4 linked regions of the Kluyveromyces lactis genome follow. The protein of the gene in region 4 purifies or fractionates together with the protein of the main gene of each other region. This does not show direct contact. Links are inferred from orthologs where the notes say so. Each region holds a gene or a part of one and is shown on either strand. Other genes may lie near its edges. The genes, in order: CBF5, SRP40, ASC1 and PRP43.

Region 1 (5,737 bases), on a different chromosome or scaffold from region 4:
ATGAACCAAGTCCTTTGCAAAAGTTTAAAGATGCAGAGAACAAGGAGAAGATAATTTCAGATCCAGAATCTCCTGCTTTTTGTGTCGAGAACGACCATGAAAGTTCCAAGGTTCAGCTACGGAGAAAAGTAGGGTTTGTTGCACAAGATGGCCACGAAATACAGCTATTCGATAGTAATCTTCCACCATGCACAACAGAACGGAATAAAAATCATACTATTCCCCCTACTTCAAATGGGGTATTGTCCACATCTAATAGGATCTTCAAATATACTGACAGTTACAACAAGTTCGAAGATGTTACAAAACTTGGACCGGTTCCATTCCCAGATCTATCACTTAAGGAGAGGATGACTGCATTATTCGAATTAGTAGGTGCCCCAGAAGAGTTAAAGGAGTGTAACGATCTAAGGCTATCCTTAACGTGCTTGCATCCATGTTTAGCCAAAATATTAGGCTTTTTATGGAGAAACATTAATGTAGGATTGAAAGAGAACAATCACTTAAGAAATATGGTGAAAAGATTAGAAAAGCAGCGCCTCATCGACTCAACTGCACATGAGAGTAAACAGGAAGAATTTTCCAAGTTGACCACTATACATGTTCAGAAGTTGAATGATCTTGAACGTACTTTACAGGAGGTAGAAGTTCAGTATTCTAGACAAAAGGCGCACAATAATTCATCATTAGAACTTGTGAATACCGCAATGGAAGGCATGACCGGTGTTTTAAATCTGTTTTTCAGTCAAGAGTTTTACGAAGAGTGGCAGAAAGATACAAAAGATAGAATTGATTCATTAATGGTATATTTGAATGATATATGCCAATATTTCAGCACAATGCAAACCGAAATGATTCTAAAATTGGAACATAATGCCGAAATGAACGAACTTACAGAGAGATGTGAGTTCTATACCGAGAATTGCTCTTTGTTAGAGAGAGAAAATGAATCTTTGAAGGCAGTTGCCAGTGCATATCGTCAATTACAGGACATTGTCACGGAAAAAAACATTATAATAAGCTCATTGGAGGTAGAAAATCGTTCTTTGAAAAAGCAAGTGGAGACAAAGGCAAAGGATTTGGAGCTTTTGTCAGTGAAGCATGAAAGGGAAATTGCTAAATTAAAAGATCTCTCAAAGGCTGAAAGAGGCAGAATTTTAAAGGTTTGGGACAGAACAGACTACGAGAAGGCATTGGATTCAAAAGAAGAGGAAATCGTTAAGTTAAACCACCGTATCAGTCTATTGGATCTGATAATAGACAACAAGGTGACAGAAATAAAAAATAATGAGAGCAGATACAGGGGACTTGAGACAAAAGTTGCAATTTTAAGTAATGAAAACATAGTTTTAAAGTCAAAACATGACGAGGTTATCAAAAAGAAGAAGGAAGACCTTGCATTTTTCAATGAGAAGTTTCAAAAAAGGTTGTTAGCGATGAAACGTGAAATAGATAAAAATGCTGACATGTATCATAATGAACTACAAAGCTACAGGACTAATTACGAGAAAACTTTAAGTAGTGCCTTAAAAGTTACTCTTAAAGCAGAATCTGCGCTTAGTGCCATATACAGCAATAATGTGGATAGATTCGGGTCTACAAACCGGACTTTGAATTATTTTATGAAGAAAAGAGATATGTTCCAAAATATCAGAGACAATATGGTCTCCAACAAGCCCAAACCAGAATACAAACCTGCGATCACCATTACAAGTGTTAGTGATGGCATAGAAAATAAAGACAATAGAAACGAAGAGTTACACTACATATCAGAACAAAAACAAGGTTTTAATGATTCACTCCGTGAGCTTAAAGTAGCCAATGTGAATAGCAACTGTTCCTCAAGGTCGAAACACAACGCTAAACAAATTATACAAAAGCTCCGAGAGTGGAAGCAAAACCAAAACACATCAGAGCTATCGCCAGACAAAGAAGATTCCATATTTTCAACTGGAATTGAGACAGATTATTCAACTTCAAATATCGCACAGTTATCCACTAGGAACTGGGCTAGCGCTTTGAAGAACAACTATAACGCCAAGTACTTGGAATCTATCTGAATGAAAACAGCGTACTAAGTTAACAGAATTTAACCTAACATAATGAACATATTAGCAGCTAGTTTAGTCCATTAAATAAAAATGCAAACTCACTTCCTAGAAGGCTATAAAAACTACTCTCACTTGGCAATGCTATTTCCAATGTCTGTCATATATACTTAAACGTCAAGGTGAATATAATTCATTACCCGGAAATAATTGCTTTTTGAGATATCTGAAAATTTTCTACCTGAAGAAAAAAATTTGATGAAGACGATGAGATGAGATGAGCTTTAACAAGAAAAGTATAGAGTTCTATTAGAAGTAGATTCATCTTACTGGACTAAAAACTGTCACTTTAGTGTAGATTCTGCTTTACGATATTGTTGCTACTATCCTTTTATTGTTTTCTCTCGATATTTGAAGGAGATAGTGTACTGGATTGTTCGTTAGAAAGCTAATAAGTAAGATAGAGATCGATGTCTGACGAATTTGTTATTAAGCCAGAGAGTGTTTCACCATCTAGTAACACTAGTGAGTGGCCTTTATTGTTGAAGGACTATGACAAACTATTAGTCAGAAGTGGTCATTACACACCAATTCCAGCTGGTGCCTCTCCTTTGAAGAGAGATTTGAAGTCATATATCAGTTCTGGTGTCATCAATTTGGACAAACCTTCAAACCCATCTTCTCACGAAGTTGTTGCTTGGATCAAGCGTATCTTGCGTTGCGAAAAAACAGGTCATTCTGGTACTTTAGATCCTAAAGTCACTGGTTGTTTGATCGTCTGTGTTGACAGAGCTACCAGATTGGTCAAGTCTCAACAAGGTGCTGGTAAAGAGTATGTTTGTATCGTTAGATTGCACGATGCCCTTAAGGACGAGAAGGAATTGGGCAGAGGTTTAGAAAATTTGACTGGTGCTTTGTTCCAAAGACCTCCTTTAATTTCTGCTGTTAAGCGTCAATTACGTGTCCGTACCATTTATGACTCCAACTTGATCGAATTTGACAACAAGAGGAACTTGGGTGTTTTCTGGGCTTCCTGTGAAGCTGGTACTTATATGAGAACTTTATGTGTCCATCTTGGTATGCTTTTAGGTGTCGGTGGCCATATGCAAGAGTTGCGTCGTGTTAGATCCGGTGCTTTGTCCGAAAACGATAACTTGGTCACCCTACATGATGTTATGGATGCACAATGGGTATACGATAACACCAGGGATGAATCCTACCTAAGAAAGATCATTCAACCATTAGAAACTCTATTAGTCGGTTACAAAAGAATTGTTGTCAAAGATTCTGCTGTTAACGCTGTTTGTTACGGTGCCAAGTTGATGATTCCAGGTCTACTTCGTTATGAGGAAGGTATTGAATTATATGACGAAGTTGTATTAATCACCACCAAGGGTGAGGCCATTGCAGTTGCCATTGCTCAAATGTCTACTGTCGATTTAGCTACTTGTGACCACGGAGTTGTTGCCAAGGTTAAGAGATGTATCATGGAAAGAGACCTATATCCAAGAAGATGGGGTCTTGGTCCAATTGCCCAAAAGAAAAAACAAATGAAGGCTGACGGTAAGCTAGACAAATATGGCCGTGCCAACGAAAATACTCCAGAGACCTGGAAGAAGACTTACGTTTCATTGGAGAATGCTGAACCAACTACCGCCCCTGCATCCAAATCAGAAGAAAAACCACTGATCAAAGAAGTAGAAAAGAAGGAAGTCGAACAGAAGGAAGAATCAAAGGAAGAATCAAAGACACCAGAAGAAAAGAAGGACAAGAAGGAAAAGAAGGAGAAGAAGGACAAGAAGGAGAAAAAGGAAAAGAAGGAGAAGAAGGAGAAGAAGAGAAAGGCTGACGATGATGAGTCTTCCGAGAAGAAGAAGAAGAAGTCAAAGAAATAAACGACTACAATCTAAGTCCTTCATATCATCGATCGAAATTTCAAAACTGCATAGAGTTTATCATTTAGGTTATGTACACTGTAGAATATTTTTAATCATTGAAAAACGTATTTCGTCACGACTGTTTTTTGTACCCTGTGTCGATGTTGTATATCATTGTATTCGTATATATAAATTTGTAAATTATTTATGCGCGTGTGAAGACACCATTACGTCTTCAATTGAAGTAATGGCAAAAAGTAATGGTAAATGTATGAGGTAGATAGAAGATTTGATAATAATACTTGGAGTTTTTTTTTTTTTGGCAGACATCAATTGTTCGGAACCAAATAGAAGTCGGGAAACTTGCAGATTGGTATGTCTTTTATTTGCATGATGTCATTTGCTCAATAAAAAGGTAAATGAAGGTTAAAATCTATGCAAATGGTTACATTGTGAACAGAAGTCGAGGTGTCACAATGAAACGTCCCGTTTCTTACTTTACCAGTATTAACAATCATTGAATAATTCTCCTTGTATTCTCTCGCATATTATATTGCGTCCTCAACTTATGTTGCGTGCTTCATTTACCGAAGGATATTTTTTTGAAAATAGTGTACAGTGTGGTCAGAAAGTTAACGCATTAATCGACAGACAATGTAGCCATACGATAAGATTGCTTCTGCTGAAGTGAATGTGAATGGAACATTTGAATTGGAAATAATTAATGGGAGTAAACATTTAAAGAAATGAAAACATATGACATAGAACCATAATGGTGGGAAGATAATATTTCTGGCAGACGTTGAATTGTAAACATGATCACCGTCAGAAGTCTAAATTTGCAATCGTCATGTCATACTTTTATGATTTATTTTCGTTATAAAGACATTCTTCATCTTTCATTCAGAAGTTATCCATAATGGCTTGTCTTTGTTGAGGTGTTAAAGAGGTTGGATAATCGATCTTGAACTTAATAATCAAATCACCTCTTTGGGAAGGATTCTTTGACAGTGTCATACCTTGTCCGGGATATGTTGAGGTTTGAGTAGGTTGAATTGGCTGCGTTCTTGTGATTGGAATTGTTTTACCGTCGATGGTTTGTACTTGCTTGGAGAAACCTAGAAGAGATTCTTTGAAAGAAAGTGGTAAAGTGTAAATCAAATCATTGTCTTGTCTGGTGAAAAATTCGTGTGGTTTTTCCTGTAGAACGAATTGTAATGTTTGTCTACCACCAGTTCTTGGATTATAGTCACCTTCACCTTTGAAAGTAATCTTGGTACCTGCTTTCCAACCTGGTTTCAATTGGATGTCAATTTGGTTCTTTTCGGACACACCACCGGCGCCTTTTCTTGTGATCTTGAATGATTTCTTCTTACCGCTGAATAAATCTTCTAAGGACACAGGTAGATTGACCTGAACAACTTCTTCTTCAGGTCTAGCCTGTTGTCTACTGAATCCACCTGGCATTCCACCTGGCATTCCACCTGGCATACCGCCTGGCATGCCGCCCGAAGAGGAATGGAAACTACTGCCTCCAAACCCGAAATCATCACCAGACCCGCCGCTAGCAGAGAATCCAAATGGAGAAGCACCTCCGGCAGCACCTCCTCCACCAAAGAACTGTGAAAAGATGTTGAAAGCGTCATCTTGTGAGAACGCATGTCCCCCGGCAAACCCACCAGAAGAAAATCCTCCAGGCCCACCAGGCCCACCAGGCCCTCCCGCTCCTCCAAATTGAGGAGCATTACCACGAGCAGCCTCTAGACCATAAGTATCGTAAACTTCCCTCTTCTGAGCATCTGAAAGAATCTC
Region 2 (5,399 bases), on a different chromosome or scaffold from region 4:
AACTTCCGCACACTGCACATTAGCAATGTGACCTTTCTGTGAAAGTTCCATCCAATTAGCTTCGTAAAGTTTTGGACCAATCAAGAAATTCAAATCACTAATCTTGTCATCTTCACGCACCAAAGTTGCAGTTAAACCTAATTTTGCATGTGCGGCAATAGTGGACACAACACGTCTAAACATGGCTGCAGGTACGACATGTACTTCATCCAAAATAATGAAACCCCATTCTCTACCCGTTAAGAAATCCATAACCTTTTGAGAATCGTACGATCTATTTCTAGTGTTAGCAACCATGGAATAAGTCGAGACCACCAGACCAGATTCAGTTTGGAACATTTCTTTGTTATCTGATGTGAAGACGGCAACATTTTCAGGCTGGAGCGTACACCACTGAAGGAATTGTTGTCTCCATTGCATGACTGACACTGACGAAGTACAAAGCACGATCACAGACTTTTTGATAGTACATGCCGCTGTGATACCGACCAAAGTCTTACCAGCACCGCATGGTAACACAATAATACCACTTCTTGCACGACCGTTACCGAACATTTTGCTCAAGGATTTTTCCTGATATGGTCTGATTTGAGTTGATGGTTTCAAATCGATATCTAAATCTGGATTTCTTCGATCGTTCCTGAAATCATATTCTTCCAACACCGGATAGTCAAGTTCTTGACATCTTTTCTTCACAATTTCGACAGATGCATTGTCAATTTCGAAAGCATGAACCGCATCTATATCATCGTCTTCTTCTTCAAGTTCCTTATTGGCCCCCACGACAGCTGAAAAGACAGCTTCCACATCGTTAGGATCCACTCCCTCTGCATCTACCATCTTATTCGCCATGGTTTTCTTAACCGCAGCATCCACTGCAGCATCGGTATCGATTCTTAGATTACCAATGATTTGATCGTTTAACAACATTTGCAAGATATCAGCTTGAGAAGTTTCCACGAAATATCTATTATGCTTAATGACCAATTTCACCTTACCGTATGATACAGTTGCACTCTTAATGAAGTTGATAATCGAAGGTGCAACAGGAACCTTGGACAATCTGTCCAATACTGCTATGATATCTTCAGTTTCCAAACCAACCGAAACCGCAGCATACAAAGAGTAAGCCGTAATTCTGTACTCATGAATATGAGATGGTCTAGAAACGGGTTCTGCGATCGTCACAAGAAAATCCTGTGCTTGTTCTGCCAATGGAGAGAATGATTCTAAGATCACACGTCCATCGTTAGGCGATATCCATAAAGGCCGCGAGGCATGATCCGGCTTCAATTTTAAGTAGCTGAAATCGTTAGTCTTGAACATTCCTGAAACAACGTCAGGCTCAAAATCAGGGGGAATATCGTCCAAATGTGCATGAAGGATATCATCCTTTGCTGCTAGATTATGGTTCATTCCACTACCAGCAGTTGCAGCAGCAGCAGATCTAGAAGAAGAAGAACTTTTCTTCGATTTCCGACTCAAAAGAGGATTCACTTGAGGAGCAGGAGCGTTCGCCTGCATTAGAGATTCCTTTAACTCAGCTTCCTCTTCTTCATCTAAGACATCATCGTCGATATCTGGGGCAATATCCCCGTATTCTTCATCGTCTGTAACCAAAGAGTCATCTGAAAAAACCGTGTCCTGCACTAATTTCTCCTTTCCACCTCTACTTCTTGTGTGATATGAACGCTTCACTACCTCATCTTCCATAATGACACAATTAGTGTACAGATAGACTCCGGGGATAGACCTTAATTCCCTTGTCCGTCCTTGGACTTTGATTCTTAAACATCTAATTAAAGTTAAAGTTCTCTTAAAATCATCTTTCAGATTAATAATGTTGAGGCAAAAATGATTACCCGGACAAACAATATAACCAGAATGAGCCAAAAACCCAATATAAGTTAGAGTTGGATGACCAACTAATAACCATTGCAACCACTAGGTAGTTCCACGATTAACAATACAACAACGAGGTTGCCGAATAGACGAAAAGGCCGGTTTTGCTAGTTGTTTTTACAGTTTTAGTAGTTGTAAGACTGAAACAACCCATACACCACACCTCAGGACATCGTCACATAGTACGGCAAAAGAAACGTATTGAAAAAAAATTCGAGATTAATAGCGTTATCCAAACGAGATGAGCTTGCGATGAGGTAGGTTCAGATCTTATCCAAGAGCGATTACGATAGGATCACCAGTGGTTTGGGTGAGGAAATAGTCTAATTTTTACAGATGAGTGTTAAGAAGCAAAGTTCCAAGTCTTCAGTGCCAAAATTGACGAAGAAAGATGACAAAAAGGTAAAATCATCGTCAAGTGGTTCAGAGTCTAGTTCCAATTCCAGCGACAGCTCGAGTTCAGGTTCAGGTTCAGGTTCAGGTTCAGGTTCAGATTCGGATTCGGATTCTGGCTCAGACTCTAGTTCAAGCTCTAGCTCAGATTCAGAATCGAACTCTGATAGTAGCTCCAGTTCCAGTTCCAGTTCCAGTTCCAGTTCCAGTTCAGACTCAGACTCCAGTTCAGACTCAGATTCTAGTTCCAGCTCAGACTCTAGTTCCAGCTCAGACTCTGATTCCGACTCAGACTCTAGCTCCAGTGCCAGCTCAGAATCCGATGATGAGGACGAAAAAGACATCAAAATTAAGATAAAAGATGAAAAATCTGAGCCAGTAGCAGTGGAAGTAAAGGTGTCGAAATCGTCAAACTCGGACTCGGAATCTAGTTCTGATTCTAGCTCCGATTCAGACTCTAGCTCCGATTCAAGCTCTGACTCAGACTCCGATTCAAACTCTAGCTCTAGCTCTAGTTCAGATTCAGATTCAGACTCTAGCTCTAGCTCCAGCTCGGACTCTAGTTCGGACTCTAGTTCAGACTCAGACTCAGACTCAGACTCAGACTCAGACTCAGACTCAGATTCGTCCTCAGATTCGTCCTCCTCATCTAGCGACTCCGATAGCAGCGATAGCGAAACTGCAGTAGAAACCGAAACCAACAGCAAACGTCCTCTTGAAACTGAATCTGATTCCACTGAAAATTCCAAAGAATCATCACAAGAACCTTCAACAAAGAAACAAATGATTTCAGCTGGCGTTGATGAAGTATTGCCTGGACAAAGAAAACATTTCTCCAGAGTCGAAAGAGAGAAGATTGCATTTGAACACGAAGTCCTGACAGATAATACATACAAAGGTGCCGCAGGTACCTGGGGTGAAATGGCCAACGATAAGTTGAGCCGTGTGAGAGGAAAAGATTTCACTAAAAATAAAAACAAGATGAAAAGAGGTTCTTACAGAGGTGGGTCTATCACTATGGCTTCTGGCTCCTATAAGTTTACTGATTGATCAATTCCAAACAATTCTCACCTAATGAAAACCATAAACTACCATCATTCACCATCGTCATCTAACTCTTTGGAATAAGAGACAAAACTGTTTCCAATATATACTTACAATCGAAACTATTGTGTATTAAACTGTATAAACCTTCAAAAACCTTTGTCATTGAACAATAAACCGCTTTGTCAATTCCGGACCAATATGGACGGAACCAAATGCCACACTTGACACGCACCCAATTAAGATGCATAGAAGTTGCTGAAAAAGCTGTGAGGAATCTTGGCTCGAACAAACGGATTAGGAAAAAAGTTTTTGAAAAGTCGCGAACGGAAACGATGCACACCATTGGGTACCCACATTTTTGGCCGGTAAGCATTGGTTACCCCTCTCTCGGATAGGCAAGGTTGCAAAGACTATTACTTGTTACTTTTGTAATTGCCATAAATAGAGGCCGGGAAAAGAAGTTTCTTTGATAAGTTCTTCTTCTTCTTTACATATTAATTAAAGTTTCACAAGATTACGTATTTGCAGATAAGGCATTATTAGCAAGCAAGAAAGCAAGCAATAAAATCAGGAATAGAAGCATCATGGGTTTGTTAGACAGTGTTAAGAGCTACGCATCGAAACAAAGTGAAAGCGGTGAAGATTTGGTCAAGAAGGCTGAGGGTTACTTGGGTGAAGAAAGATTGGGTCAAATCAAGACTAAGGTCGGAGAAGAAAACTTCAAGAAGTTCGAAGACCAAGCTAGATCTTTCTTGGGTGAATCTTCCGAAAAGAAGGACTCTACTGAAACCTCTGGTTCAGCCGAAACCTCTACCGAGTCTAAAAAGAACTAAGGCAACTAAGGCTGGAAATAAGCTCTTTACATTGAGTATATAATTTCATAAGTAACATTAACAGATATCCTTTCTGCTATAACTTTAAAACCGCATCTTTCACAACTTTGATTTGGGTTTATTTACGACTCGTGTAGCGACTAATTCTTTGTACAATGGTTCGAACTGATCTCTATTGTTGTGTAATTCATCCACTGAGGCTGATTGGAGTTTTTTCGTAATGTGGCCAAGAAGCATCGGTCCGATTACGTTCGGATTTTCAATGTTCATAAGATGGTCGACATTGTCGATTTGGATGCGTTTGTAATGAGGAATGGTGTCCTGTAACAGCTGATAATTTTCCGGCGGACACCATTTAGATTTACCACCCACGTAGCAAATCACGGGGCTTTCAATCCATTTCAAGTTGTCAATTAACCAGTAAGCATAGGGGTGGAGACACATGTACCCGATGAGGTGTTGCTCTTTTGAAGTCTTCGTGTGGAATTTCGATCCTCGTTTTATCAACTCAGCGTCACAGAAAGTATCTAAAATAGTTTTATCAGAGTTTCTCCAAAAGCTGCGCTTCCTCATGAACTCCTCGTACTCGTCCCTTGTGGCAAAGGTGTCTTGAACCATGTTGCTAATAGCATTGAAATAGTTGTTACTCAAAAGCGTGATCTTCTTTGGACTTGGTGGGTTAAGCATCTTAACAACGGGCTCCATGGTTATGATAAGCTGAAACAAGTTTGGAGATAGTATACCGCAACCAAGAGCTTGATGCCCACCCATAGAATGCCCAATCAGTACGTTGAAACTGTTTTGTTTTGGAGGATTTAACTCAACGTCACATATCTTGATAATATCCTTAGAACCATCGATCCAATGGAATATAGAGCCAAGTTTCCCCTCGTTGGCAACACAGGAATCACCATGGTTCACTTGGTCCACTGCTATTAGCTTCCCAAGCTTATACTGGTATTTTTCAGGGTTCGCTTGGATCTGTTTGTGGAAATATTTCACGTACCATTCCCATATGCTCTTTGTCATACCCGTTCCATGTAGAAACACGATGTTAACCTCGGGAACAGCTCTAAGATCCTCAGTTTCGTAGACATCGTAGAAAATCTCAAGAACGTCGGTCCCACTCAACGTACTCCGGTAATCAGTTCTTGGTACAGCTGCAGTCACCCTTTTCGTCGATTTTATCATATTATTACTGAATTATTAGGGGAGTTGTAACCT
Region 3 (5,408 bases), on a different chromosome or scaffold from region 4:
TTTCCCATTATAATTATAGTTTGTACAGGTGTTCAAAAGAGTAAACTAGTTTACATTAAGTCTAGAAGATCGGTTGCATGGGAATTCGAGGTGTTGTTGTTGTTATTATTGGTTTTCTGTGAAATGTTTACTTTCCCCATATCACCAGTGATATCGAAAAGATCATTTAGTTCGTCCAGGACGCCTGTACTTCTCGTGGCAGAGCTATCACCCATGTCAAGTAGTACATCATCGTTCATGTTTTTCAGGATCTCGTTCGTGGCCATTCCCTTTAATTCATCAATATCCTTATCCTTAATGATGTGAACTTCGTTGGGACGGCGTTGCATCTGCGAGATTGGTTTGAAATACACAGAGGATAGAGTGGAGAGCTCTTGAAGTAGACTTTGTAATGTTTCCTTGGAGAAGTGGTCCAAGGTAGAATGCAATTTAGGAATTTCATGCTTGTCAAATAATTGGTTGATGATTTGATCACCGTTGTCGATCGATAGACACCGCCAGTACATCATGGCCATGTCTCTAACGTCCAAATCGTGGACGTCTGTCGTACAAAGTTCCAAGATCTTCTGTAAGAAAGCACTTGAGACTGCATTATGGCATTTCACTACACCCATTAGAAGGGACATTTGAGTTAGGGATCCTAATTCATCGAAAACTTCTACCAGTGGTTCAAGCTTAGTTTCCAAATTTTCGTTTGTATAGTTGGTGATAAACCAGATGTAGTTACAACTGCCTAGATCAGATGTAAATATGGTATCGATATCTTGCCATGAGGAAATTATGGCACCCAACTCATTCTTACTTGTTTCCTTGATAAGATTGTTGTCACTGTCATAACGTAACATGTCGCATACGCATCTCATCAATATATCCCTAAACTCTTCTCTCTCCTGGACAATCGAAACGAATTCTTCCATGACCATATTCAAAAACTTGTTATTCGTATCTTCACCTCCGTTCGAGACTTTAATGGCCAATTGTGAGATGGATTGGATAGCTTTGGTCACGAATTCATGATCAAAGTCCTTTGCATATTCTTTTAATTCGTTGAAAAGCATCTGGCAATGTTTCAAATTATCCACGGGCACTAATCTGAGCAAGATGTCTAATTTCTCTATCTTCACGTACAATGGATCATTAAATTTGACATAGAATATTCTTAACTCTTTCCTTAACAAGTTTGGGAAGGCATCCAAAATAATTCTTATATTTCTCAAAGCAACATATTGGATCTCCACTGGGGTCGACATTAGTGAGACCAATGCAGTTGATAACTTGTTGTATATAGAGTCATGGACTGTGTTCAAATTTGGTAGATGTATGAGTATACATTTAACACTGATCAAGACCACTGATGGATTTACGTGTTGCAAATGTGGAACAACTCTATCGATAATTTCTTGAGACTCCATAGGGTCAATTGGTTTGTGTTCGCTCAATGACTCCAAAATAGTGATTCTTGCCCATTCTGTACATTCGTTCAACACGTTCAAAAACCTCTTAACGTTTTGAGATACTAATTTCTTGATATCTATTGAACCAGGGTCCAATTCGTTAATTTCGTGCAGTGCGGCAAGCGCGTTGGCAACAACCATTGGATTATCGTCAGACAAAGCGTCTTGCAAATCGTTCAATACGCCCAATTCACGGCATAGGTCCGGGTTCAATTGGAACAATTTTGCAACGCATAGTACCGCGGTTCTTCTCACGTACGGATTATCATCGACTAGAGTCTTTCTTAGCGGAATCTCAATGTATTCCAAGATCTTATCAACTCTGATCATCGACATGGTACGGATTGCCATAGACCTAATCAATGGGTTCGGATCAGCTGCATCGCTGACGAATGTGTTCACGACAAGGATGCATAACTCCGGATGAGTTTCTGCATAATTAGCCACGTAAAGGTATACCAATTTCTTCTGTTCAATGTCTTGAGTGGCTATATTCTTCAAAACGTCGGGAAACAAAGATGAAACATCTTTGCCGGAAGTCATCTGTTGAATAATCTTACGGATCGCGTCCTTTCGGGTCTGTGGGTACTGAGATACTAATCCATTTCGTAGTTCAAACAATTCACCTTTATTGGAAATCTTAGGAGCCACTCGTATGGCGTCTCTTAAGAACTTCTTGATCTTCTTATCAACACCCATTGTTTCCCTTGGTATTTATGAGAAAGCAGAGCAAGCAATTGGCTGGAGGAAGGAAGACTAATCGCTTGGGGACAGAGTCTTGAATATAAACAGGTTCATCTATTTATATACAGATTCCAGTTAATTTGATTGATGTTTTCTATGAATACTGGAAAGTGAAAGCTTGCTGGCGAGGTCACGTGTGTGCTCACGTGTATCGGAAGATTCCGTAACCCGGACATCATATGATGTCCGGGTTACGGTATTGAGAGATCTCACTTCCTAATAAGAATGGTTACTACCTGATTAGGGAAATTGCTAAGGGAGATTCACACTTCTGCGTAAATTCTTACGCACCGCAGTGTGGTGTACTGATATACCCGACTTTTTATAAAAACACAGTCCTCAGAGTTGCCAGACCAAAAGATACGCGCGACACCCTTACACCATTCAGCGTACCACTCAGCACGCACCACGCACATTGAAAAAAAATTCTTTTCTAGCCAAAGCTCATCACTTGAATATTGAGAAAGTATTAAGAACTTGATATAACTTGCAAGAGTTTACTGCATTAGTATTAAGCTATCAGTTCTTGTTGATTGAAATTGTTATCTATTCTCTTCTTTTGATTCATCAGAACAACACATCTCAAGGAATTAACTGAAAAGAAATGTCTTCCAGCAATATTATGCTTGTTTTGAGAGGTACCCTAGAAGGTCACAACGGCTGGGTCACCTCTTTGTCTACCTCTGCTGCTCAACCAAACTTGTTGGTTTCTGGTTCCAGAGATAAGACTTTGATCTCCTGGAGATTGACCGAAAACGAACAACAATTCGGTGTCCCAGTTAGATCTTACAAGGGTCACTCTCACATCGTTCAAGATGTTGTTGTCTCTGCTGACGGTAACTACGCCGTTTCTGCTTCTTGGGATAAGACCTTGAGATTGTGGAACTTGGCTACTGGTAACTCTGAAGCTAGATTTGTTGGTCACACCGGTGATGTTTTGTCCGTTGCCATTGATGCTAACTCTTCTAAGATTATCTCTGCTTCCAGAGATAAGACCATCAGAGTTTGGAACACTGTCGGTGACTGTGCCTACGTCTTGTTGGGTCACACCGACTGGGTTACCAAGGTCAGAGTTGCTCCAAAGAACTTGGAAGACGGTGAAGTCGATGACGGTAGAATCACTTTCGTTTCTGCTGGTATGGACAAGATCGTTAGAGTATGTGCCAGACTTTTTTCTTTTATTGCATTGCATTGCATTGCCTATCTCCCGATTAGATTGATTTACCTTGGAATTCAGGTCCTCAGTTGTTTCCCCGTAATATATTCTCAAAATACATGGCTCAATTCACTATACTATGACAAATGATGTTTCTTATATTTGCTACTTCAGACGTAACCTTACATGGTTTCGAATGAGACATACTAATTATCACCAAGATCTCTGATGTCTTTTTAATTAGTGAATTAAAATTTTGAATTGAGTTTTGTGCATTTGAATATCATGGAGCGAGCAATTTGGGCCTGTATTCCCAGATATATCTCATGGCTTTGAACCAAATATCATTTTTACTAACAATATTTTGGGAATTATCTTCCATTCCCCTTATTAACTACAGTCCTGGTCTTTGAACGAAGACTCTTACAGAATCGAAGCTGATTTCATCGGTCACAACAACTACATCAACGTTGTTCAACCATCCCCAGATGGATCTCTAGCTGCTTCTGCTGGTAAGGACGGTCAAATCTACGTCTGGAACTTGAAGCACAAGAGCGCCTTCATGAACTTCGACGCTAAGGACGAAGTCTTTGCTTTGGCCTTCTCTCCATCCAGATTCTGGTTGACCGCTGCTACTGCTTCTGGTATCAAGATCTACGACTTGGAAAACGAAGTCTTGATCGACGAATTGAAGCCAGAATTTGCTGGTTACACCAAGGCTCAAGACCCACACGCCGTTTCTTTGGCTTGGTCTGCTGATGGTCAAACTTTGTTCGCCGGTTACACCGACAACGTCATCAGAGTTTGGCAAGTCATGACCGCCAACTAAGTTGTAGCAATTTAAAATCTCTTAATTTTGCTTTTATTCCCTACAATTTATTCTTGGTCGTCGTCATTACCAATAAATCATAACATAAATCCCTTATGTATATATTAGTTATACAAAAACTTACATTATAATATTAGATCTCCCCTCGGTTAATCTGTCTTATAAGAGTTCCGATATTGTTATCTTAGCTTATTATTATGTTTTCAATGGTTTCTACCTATACATGCATAATATGCATTTCGGTTAGGCAAAACCGTGGCACAGGGCTATTCCAAGGGCAACCCGGTACCTTAGCTTCCCTTTCTTCATATCACCCTTTCTTTCTCTCTCTTCCTGGCGAAAACGCAGAAACTCGTACTCTATCTATAATGGCAATTCTATTTACTTTTTGAACTTTTACCGTTCACTTTAAACCTCTTTGCAAAATATTCCGTTTCAATTAAAATTTTTCATATTAACAAACTTAAACTTACATTAGCTTAGGTTGGACTGGACTTGGTTCTTCTACTGCTCATATTGTTTTTGTGTATTCAGATTATATTTGCTACTGTAAATTGTAAATTGTAAATTAAACCATTTGTTTCTTTGTTCGTTTTAAAAGGTACAAGAATATCACTCTAATATTTACAGGACAGATCATATCCAAAAATTATGTCATCTTCTGCTGATAATTCCAACAACAGTAGCAGCAGGTTCCCTGCTGCTGTTGACTCTATCAATAACAACAGTAATAGTATTAACGATGCTAGTCAATTCCACAACAGTTATAATGAAGTAAATGAAATTAATAATGATACTAATAGCCAAGTGAACAACGGTAACAATATTACATTCCACGTCCTTGTTTCTTTGAAAGAAGCAGCAAAGATCATTGGCCCTCAGGGGAATACCATTGAGACGATAAGGAGGGAAAACGATATCAAAATCGGTATATCACCTCGTGAAAAATCATGTTCTGATAGGTTATTGAATGTTAGTGGTCCCCCAAGACAAGTGGCCAATTCGTTGGGTCAAGTATTACGTGTGCTAACTACGGATTACGAGCCTGAGGAACACGTTTTCAAGCATCTAAGATTCATGTTACCTCCAGCATCGAAGGAAGAGATTGAGGATCCAGAGAAATGGAAACAAATTGGTAATTTGAGATTAATCTGTACCAACCCACAGATTTCGTCAGTCATTGGCCAACAAGGTGCCAAGATTAAGAAATTGATTGAAACGCATA
Region 4 (6,510 bases):
TTTTGTAATTTTTCAAATTTTTGATATATCTTGTCATTACTTACATTAAAATTTCTAAGTTGTTAGAAGTACTTGAAAAGAACAGCGGATGGTGTTTAGATCTATTTACACTCCTGTATTCATAAAGCAAAATATTCTTTAAACAGTTTAGAACATGAGACTTTTGCTCTCATCTTTGAGCATAATAGAAATACTCCACTGAACTTTCTATGCAAGGAATAGGTTTCCTCTGGGGGTGGGCATAATCTTTCATTTAACATAACAGTAATCTTTGATCTGACTCTGTCACTGACAGTTTGATTAGCAAAATCAAAGGATTTCTCTGGATCACCTGAAAATGGTTCACCAAGAGTCATGACAGATTCAACATGCGCATCCACCATAGCGGTTGATTCTAGGCCTGTCAAATAGCCTAGCTCCACTGATGTTTCCGCCACACCGATACGATCACCTTTTGTAGCTTGAGTTAATAACTTACGGTAGTTATGGATAAAGGGTTCGGGGAAACCTCTACTAGCACCGAAATCTAAAAGTTCAATTTTTTTGGTTTTGGAGTTGTATAGAAAATTGGCCCAGTTAGGATCCGTTTGCATGTATTTGAATTGAGCAATCTCCTGTAGACACAATCTCATTATGTTATCACAAATATAATCCCTGACTTCTTGTGGTGTGTTAACCGGAAGCTTCGTGATTTCAGTACCTTTCATTCTCTGCATAGTTATGATGTTCTCTGTCGTCAGTTCATCATATACAAACGGTACCTCGAAAACAGGGTCGTCTTTCAACAAACTAGCAAAATGCTTCAATGCATTAGCCTCTCTATGATAATCACATTCCCACTTTAATTCTTTACGAGCATTATCAATGGTTTTATCCAAAAACAATCCCTTTGGTAATAAACTGGAAGCAGTTAATAACATAAGAAGATTGTTTAGGTCGCTGTCAATAGAGTCTTTGACTCCTGGATATTGTATCTTCACGACACATTCCTCGCCGTTGTGCAAAACAGCATTATGAACTTGACCAATGCTTGCTGCAGCGATAGGAGTCCTGTCGAAACTCTTGAATTTCTTTTCCCAATCAGAACTCAATTCTCTAGCCAGTAGCCTGTCCAACTGTCTTGGAGGCATATAATTAGCACTGTTCTGAACTCTTGAAAGTATCGTGTATAATTGCGGAGGTAAAACCTTCTCATCCTGGAATGACATTAGTTGGCCCAACTTTAATGCTGCTCCTCTCATTTGAGAGAATTTATTTGCAATCCTTTCAACATTAGAATCTGATAACAGTAAATCTTTAAAACTTGATGATTGGCCACGACTCAGCTGAGTGATACTTTGAGATGCAGCAGAAATACCCACACTAGCAGCTAGGTGGCCGTAATGAAAAAGCCGAGAGATACGTGATGAAGGGACTTCTGAACTTTCCAGTTTATTAGCCTTTTGTTTGTTCACCAATTTATCCTCTGGAATAGCGTCAGCTGCTTTATTAGAACACCTGTGATAAGATGAAAAATGTCTCACATTTTTTTTGTTCTTGACTGAGCACTTGCTAAGGTGTGCTTTTTTAGAAGAGTGCCCTTTCGTAGATTTTCTGACGGATTCAGAAAGTTTACGGGCATGTTCCCAGTCCTTGTCGTAAAACCATTGAAATTTAGACAGTACCGGTCTTGTCAAAGTGGAAGTTTTTAGCCAAATATCAAGAGACTGTCTACCAATCGAGGCAGAATTTTTTACCACGTTGCAGAAGGACTCTGATAAACAGATAGCTTGATATAGCCCTTTTCTCGACATTGAATACAGCGATACTTCTCGATATCAATTAATTCAGCCGAAGAACTATCAGATATCACAAGATCAAAAATAAAGGGTGAAAGTATTTGATCTATCCAATGATACTACGAGTCAATGGTCAAATTCATGAATATACAGCGTAATAAGAATGGATTAAGACTCTGTCTTTACTTTATTACCTTTCCTTATTTCATGAGAGAGTCGAATCGTACAGATATCTTGCAGAATAATCCATCTTTTGAATTTCAAATAGATGCTTGTTTGCTTGCTTGCTCTTGCCATTCTAACCTTTGTTATCCGGGTAATGATGGAATTGCGATTTTGACATATGGACGTGTAGTTTTTTCTTTTTTAAAAATTTTAATGCAAATTGTAACATTAAGCTCATCTCATCTCATCTCATCTAGTGTAGTTCAATACTAGAGATAGTAGGTTAAGTGGTTATAAAATCCCCTGAATATTAGATACTACTGCTGAGTTTGGTTTACTCCGTTAGAGATTATTCGCATTACCAGTTGCAAAACATCAAACGTTGAGTAATTGACGATGGGCAAAAGAAGGTTTTCAAACGAGCATGTGTCTGCTGTTGAGACTTCTATTCCGGAGCATGCAGCTGAAATCGCAGAAAAATTAACCAAAGATCACCCTCCACCAGCAGCAGAGCCTTTAATTCATCATGATTCTGGTGAGTTCAGCGGGATGCAACGCCATCACACTACTGCGGCCGATGCCGAAAGATTGGAAAATGGATCAGTTAATCCATTCACTGGTGGCTCACTATCAGAGAAATATTTCGGTATTCTAAAGGTAAGAAGAGACTTGCCAGTGCACGCTCAAAGAGATGAATTCTTGAAGATCTATCAAGAAAACCAGATCATGGTTTTTGTTGGTGAAACGGGTTCCGGTAAGACCACTCAAATTCCTCAATTTGTGCTGTTCGATGAAATGCCACATTTACAAAATACTCAAGTTGCTTGTACGCAGCCTCGTAGGGTTGCTGCCATGTCTGTGGCACAGAGAGTTGCTGAAGAAATGGACGTCAAACTAGGCGAAGAAGTTGGTTATTCCATTAGATTCGAAAATAAGACCTCTAATAAAACTATCTTGAAATATATGACTGATGGTATGTTGTTAAGAGAAGCCATGGAAGACCATGACTTGAAACGTTACTCTTGTATCATTTTAGATGAAGCACACGAACGTACTTTGGCAACAGATATCTTGATGGGTCTTTTGAAACAGGTTATTGATCGTAGACCTGATTTGAAGATTATTATCATGTCTGCTACTTTAGATGCTGAGAAATTCCAAAGATACTTTAATAAGGCGCCACTTTTAGCTGTCCCTGGTAGGACACATCCAGTGGAGATCTACTATACACCAGAATTCCAAAGAGATTATTTGGATAGTGCTATAAGAACTGTTTTACAGATCCATGCTACGGAGGAGAAGGGTGACATTTTGTTATTCTTAACCGGTGAAGATGAGATTGAAGATGCTGTAAGGAAAATATCATTAGAAGGGGATCAGTTAATTAGAGAGCAAGGTTGTGGTCCTATCTCTGTATATCCATTATACGGTTCTTTGCCTCCACATCAACAACAGCGCATTTTTGAACCTGCTCCTGAATCCCATAATGGAAGACCTGGTAGAAAAGTCATTGTATCTACTAATATTGCAGAAACCTCTTTGACTATTGACGGTATTGTGTATGTTGTTGATCCTGGTTTCTCTAAGCAAAAAGTTTACAACCCAAGAATTAGAGTTGAATCCCTTTTGGTCTCTCCAATTTCAAAGGCATCAGCTCAACAAAGAGCTGGTAGAGCTGGTCGTACCAGACCTGGTAAGTGTTTCAGACTATATACTGAAGAAGCTTTCAAAAAGGAACTTATCGAGCAATCATATCCTGAAATTCTCCGTAGTAATCTTTCTTCGACAGTCTTAGAACTAAAGAAACTAGGCATTGACGATTTGGTGCATTTCGATTTCATGGACCCTCCTGCCCCAGAAACTATGATGAGAGCCTTAGAAGAATTAAACTTTTTGGCATGTTTAGATGACGATGGTAATTTAACACCTTTGGGTAGATTGGCTTCTCAATTCCCTCTTGATCCAATGCTTGCGGTAATGTTGATTGGATCCCCCGAATTTTCTTGTTCCGAAGAGATGCTAACGATTGTCGCCATGTTATCCGTACCTAGTGTTTTCATTCGTCCTTCGAAAGATAAGAAAAGATCAGATGACGCAAAGAACATATTTGCACATCCTGATGGCGACCACCTAACATTATTGAATGTCTACCATGCATTCAAGTCAGACGAAGCTTATGAGTACGGGATCAACAAGTGGTGCCGCGACAACTTTTTAAATTATAGATCTCTATCTGCTGCTGACAACATCCGCAACCAATTGGAAAGGTTGATGGTTCGTTACAATCTCGAGTTGAACACTACAGATTATGACTCCCCTAGATATTTCGATAACATTAGAAAAGCGTTAGCTGCAGGCTTCTTTATGCAGGTCGCAAAAAAACGATCTGGCGGAAAAGGTTATATCACAGTCAAAGATAACCAAGATGTTTTGATACATCCTTCAACTGTTTTGGGCCATGATGCCGAATGGGTTGTATACAATGAATTCGTTCTAACCTCCAAAAACTACATTAGAACTGTAACATCAGTTAGACCTGAATGGTTAATAGAATTAGCACCAGCTTATTATGACCTCGATCACTTCCAAAAAGGTGACATTAAACTATCGTTAGAAAGGGTAAAGCAAAAGCTCGATAAAATGGTGGAGCTACAACAAGAAAAAAAAAAAAGTGCGAAATCTAAAAAGTCTAAGAAATAACCAAGCATATAGATGTGTAACTTATATAATAAGATTAACCTTAGAATCAGCATGATAAGTCTTATTGTAGAAGTATTGTGCGGTATTATTAGCACGCGACTCAAAGTCTACGTTTTTTTTGCTGCATTTTATTGAAATTCGGTATGGTGTACGTTTTATATTCAACCCATAAGAACTTCGCTTATGATATTTCAGTGTAAAAAATATAAAATCAAATCTCTAGGAGTGGTTTCATTGCAATGGCGCATATAGTATCTGTGTTGCATATTTTCTTTTGTATCTAACGATGCTAGCAACACATAAAGTATTATGTTTAATAGAAGACGTTGCTAAATGATTAAGAACGACGTGGTTAGGAATTGGCAACGCACCTGAATTATTTTCACTACCTGGTTCAGCATTTTTGTTGTAATTATTGAGAATAACATTCTCCAACTGAGGTGGAAGTTGTGGAGGAGTTAACCATGACATATTTTGTTGATTGTTCTGTTGCTGGTCTAATGTGAGATAATACTGTTCCATCACCGAAGGATCTGTAAAGACAGCAGGGATATCCTGAGTATACTCATAATCGGTCTTTAGCTGTTGTTCCTCTTTGAAACGGGTGTATCCGTTTCCCATATCATCAGGGTCTTCTTCAATATGCAAAGCAAGCTGGGATCTGGCACTTAATTTGCCATCTTTACTTTGAGATGGTTGCCTTCTAACCTGTGACTGGATGGTTTGATCGCGAATTTTCTGAGATTGAGAAACATTATCTGAGAGTTGTTGATTTTGCATATTTTGCTTTTGCTGTGTCTGTTGTTGGGCATCCAGTTCATAATTCATCATTTGCATCGACTCAGGTGGAACAATTTCAAGATAATTAACAAAATTACCCATCTGATCAGTTGCAGTGGGAAGAAAGTCGCTGAACCGGAGTTCATTATCAACGATGAATCTAAATCTGTGAGTACCGGGAGGTAATTGTAACTTGATATGGAAAACTCCAGGTTTGTCAGTAACAGGTACAAGGCCAATCATCTTACGCCAGCCAGTGAAGGAACCTGTTACATAGACCTTGGAACCGCCTTGTTGCCACGTTATCTCAACAGGAACCATGGTAGGTCTACGTTCAGGTACCGGTTGCGTCTGCTGATTAATAGCAGGGCCTGGATGTTGTACGTTCCCATCGTAATGATTTCCTGAAACTTTGTTGGCATGTTGTTCTTGAGAGTTGTTAGTGTATGCTGAATTTTGATGTCTTCCATCTTCGCTGTGTGAACTGGCAGCTGGCGAATCTGCTGAAAGCGAGGATGCAGATCCATCAGAGGGTCCTGTTATGATATTATTCACAACATCCTCATCCTCATCTTCATTGTCAGTGATGATTCTTCCGTCGTCGTAATTATTCTGGTGTTCAATGTGCTTATGCTGATTCGAAATATCATCGAAGTCGTCATTAAATATCAACGTGGATTTTCTGGATGAAAGCTGTGGTGTTAACTCATTTCTGTCATCAATGTTCATTTGTGATAGAGATTGGGTAAGGTTCGAGGATGCTCCTGGGGTTTCGACCTTATTTGAAGTGTCATCCTGTCTTTCATTCATAGCTTCATTGATGTCAACCATAGAGACATCTTTAACGTTCTGAGACATAGTTGATGGATGTTTGTGATGTGGTCTGTTGGAATGACTGGGTAAATTCCCCATTAAGTTCTTCAGGTAGTCTCTTGGTACTTTTGAACGTTTTCCTCTATGCTACCTCCGCCAAATAGTTACCAAATGTGCCGTCGGTGCTACTTTATGCATTATTTGAACTTTCAGAAACAATGTTGTTATCTGGGGATTTCGATATATATATATATATTATGTGTTTTCTTGATTG

The links.
Region 1: the proteins of PRP43 (region 4) and CBF5 purify together in Saccharomyces cerevisiae (affinity purification with mass spectrometry; 3 studies listed by BioGRID). This does not show direct contact. The link is inferred for Kluyveromyces lactis from reciprocal best matches to the Saccharomyces cerevisiae genes PRP43 and CBF5.
Region 2: the proteins of PRP43 (region 4) and SRP40 purify together in Saccharomyces cerevisiae (affinity purification with mass spectrometry; 3 studies listed by BioGRID). This does not show direct contact. The link is inferred for Kluyveromyces lactis from reciprocal best matches to the Saccharomyces cerevisiae genes PRP43 and SRP40.
Region 3: the proteins of PRP43 (region 4) and ASC1 purify together in Saccharomyces cerevisiae (affinity purification with mass spectrometry; 5 studies listed by BioGRID). This does not show direct contact. The link is inferred for Kluyveromyces lactis from reciprocal best matches to the Saccharomyces cerevisiae genes PRP43 and ASC1.

Annotation. Positions count from the first base shown.
Region 1 is NC_006040.1:406,787-412,523, forward strand, and holds CBF5 (pseudouridine synthase CBF5), read left to right. Parts: upstream 1-2,518; coding exon 2,519-3,943; downstream 3,944-5,737. Other genes in the region: KLLA0_D04774g (uncharacterized protein), read left to right, coding at 1-2,060; type II HSP40 co-chaperone SIS1, read right to left, coding at 4,829-5,737. UniProt on the Saccharomyces cerevisiae protein: Catalytic subunit of H/ACA small nucleolar ribonucleoprotein (H/ACA snoRNP) complex, which catalyzes pseudouridylation of rRNA. This involves the isomerization of uridine such that the ribose is subsequently attached to C5, instead of the normal N1.
Region 2 is NC_006041.1:1,155,108-1,160,506, forward strand, and holds SRP40 (Srp40p), read left to right. Parts: upstream 1-2,238; coding exon 2,239-3,345; downstream 3,346-5,399. Other genes in the region: TFIIH/NER complex ATPase/helicase subunit SSL2, read right to left, coding at 1-1,713; KLLA0_E13069g (uncharacterized protein), read left to right, coding at 3,927-4,175; LPX1 (triglyceride lipase), read right to left, coding at 4,275-5,366. UniProt on the Saccharomyces cerevisiae protein: Not known; weak suppressor of a mutant of the subunit AC40 of DNA dependent RNA polymerase I and III.
Region 3 is NC_006041.1:1,083,976-1,089,383, forward strand, and holds ASC1 (40S ribosomal protein RACK1), read left to right. Parts: upstream 1-2,802; coding exon 2,803-3,354; intron 3,355-3,495; exon of another isoform or gene 3,496-3,587; intron 3,588-3,754; coding exon 3,755-4,183; downstream 4,184-5,408. Other genes in the region: APL2 (Apl2p), read right to left, coding at 51-2,153; HEK2 (Hek2p), read left to right, coding at 4,835-5,408. UniProt on the Saccharomyces cerevisiae protein: Component of the ribosome, a large ribonucleoprotein complex responsible for the synthesis of proteins in the cell.
Region 4 is NC_006038.1:39,945-46,454, forward strand, and holds PRP43 (DEAH-box ATP-dependent RNA helicase PRP43), read left to right. Parts: upstream 1-2,339; coding exon 2,340-4,643; downstream 4,644-6,510. Other genes in the region: protein kinase COQ8, read right to left, coding at 120-1,793; KLLA0_B00583g (protein kinase subunit beta), read right to left, coding at 4,875-6,335. UniProt on the Saccharomyces cerevisiae protein: Pre-mRNA processing factor involved in disassembly of spliceosomes after the release of mature mRNA.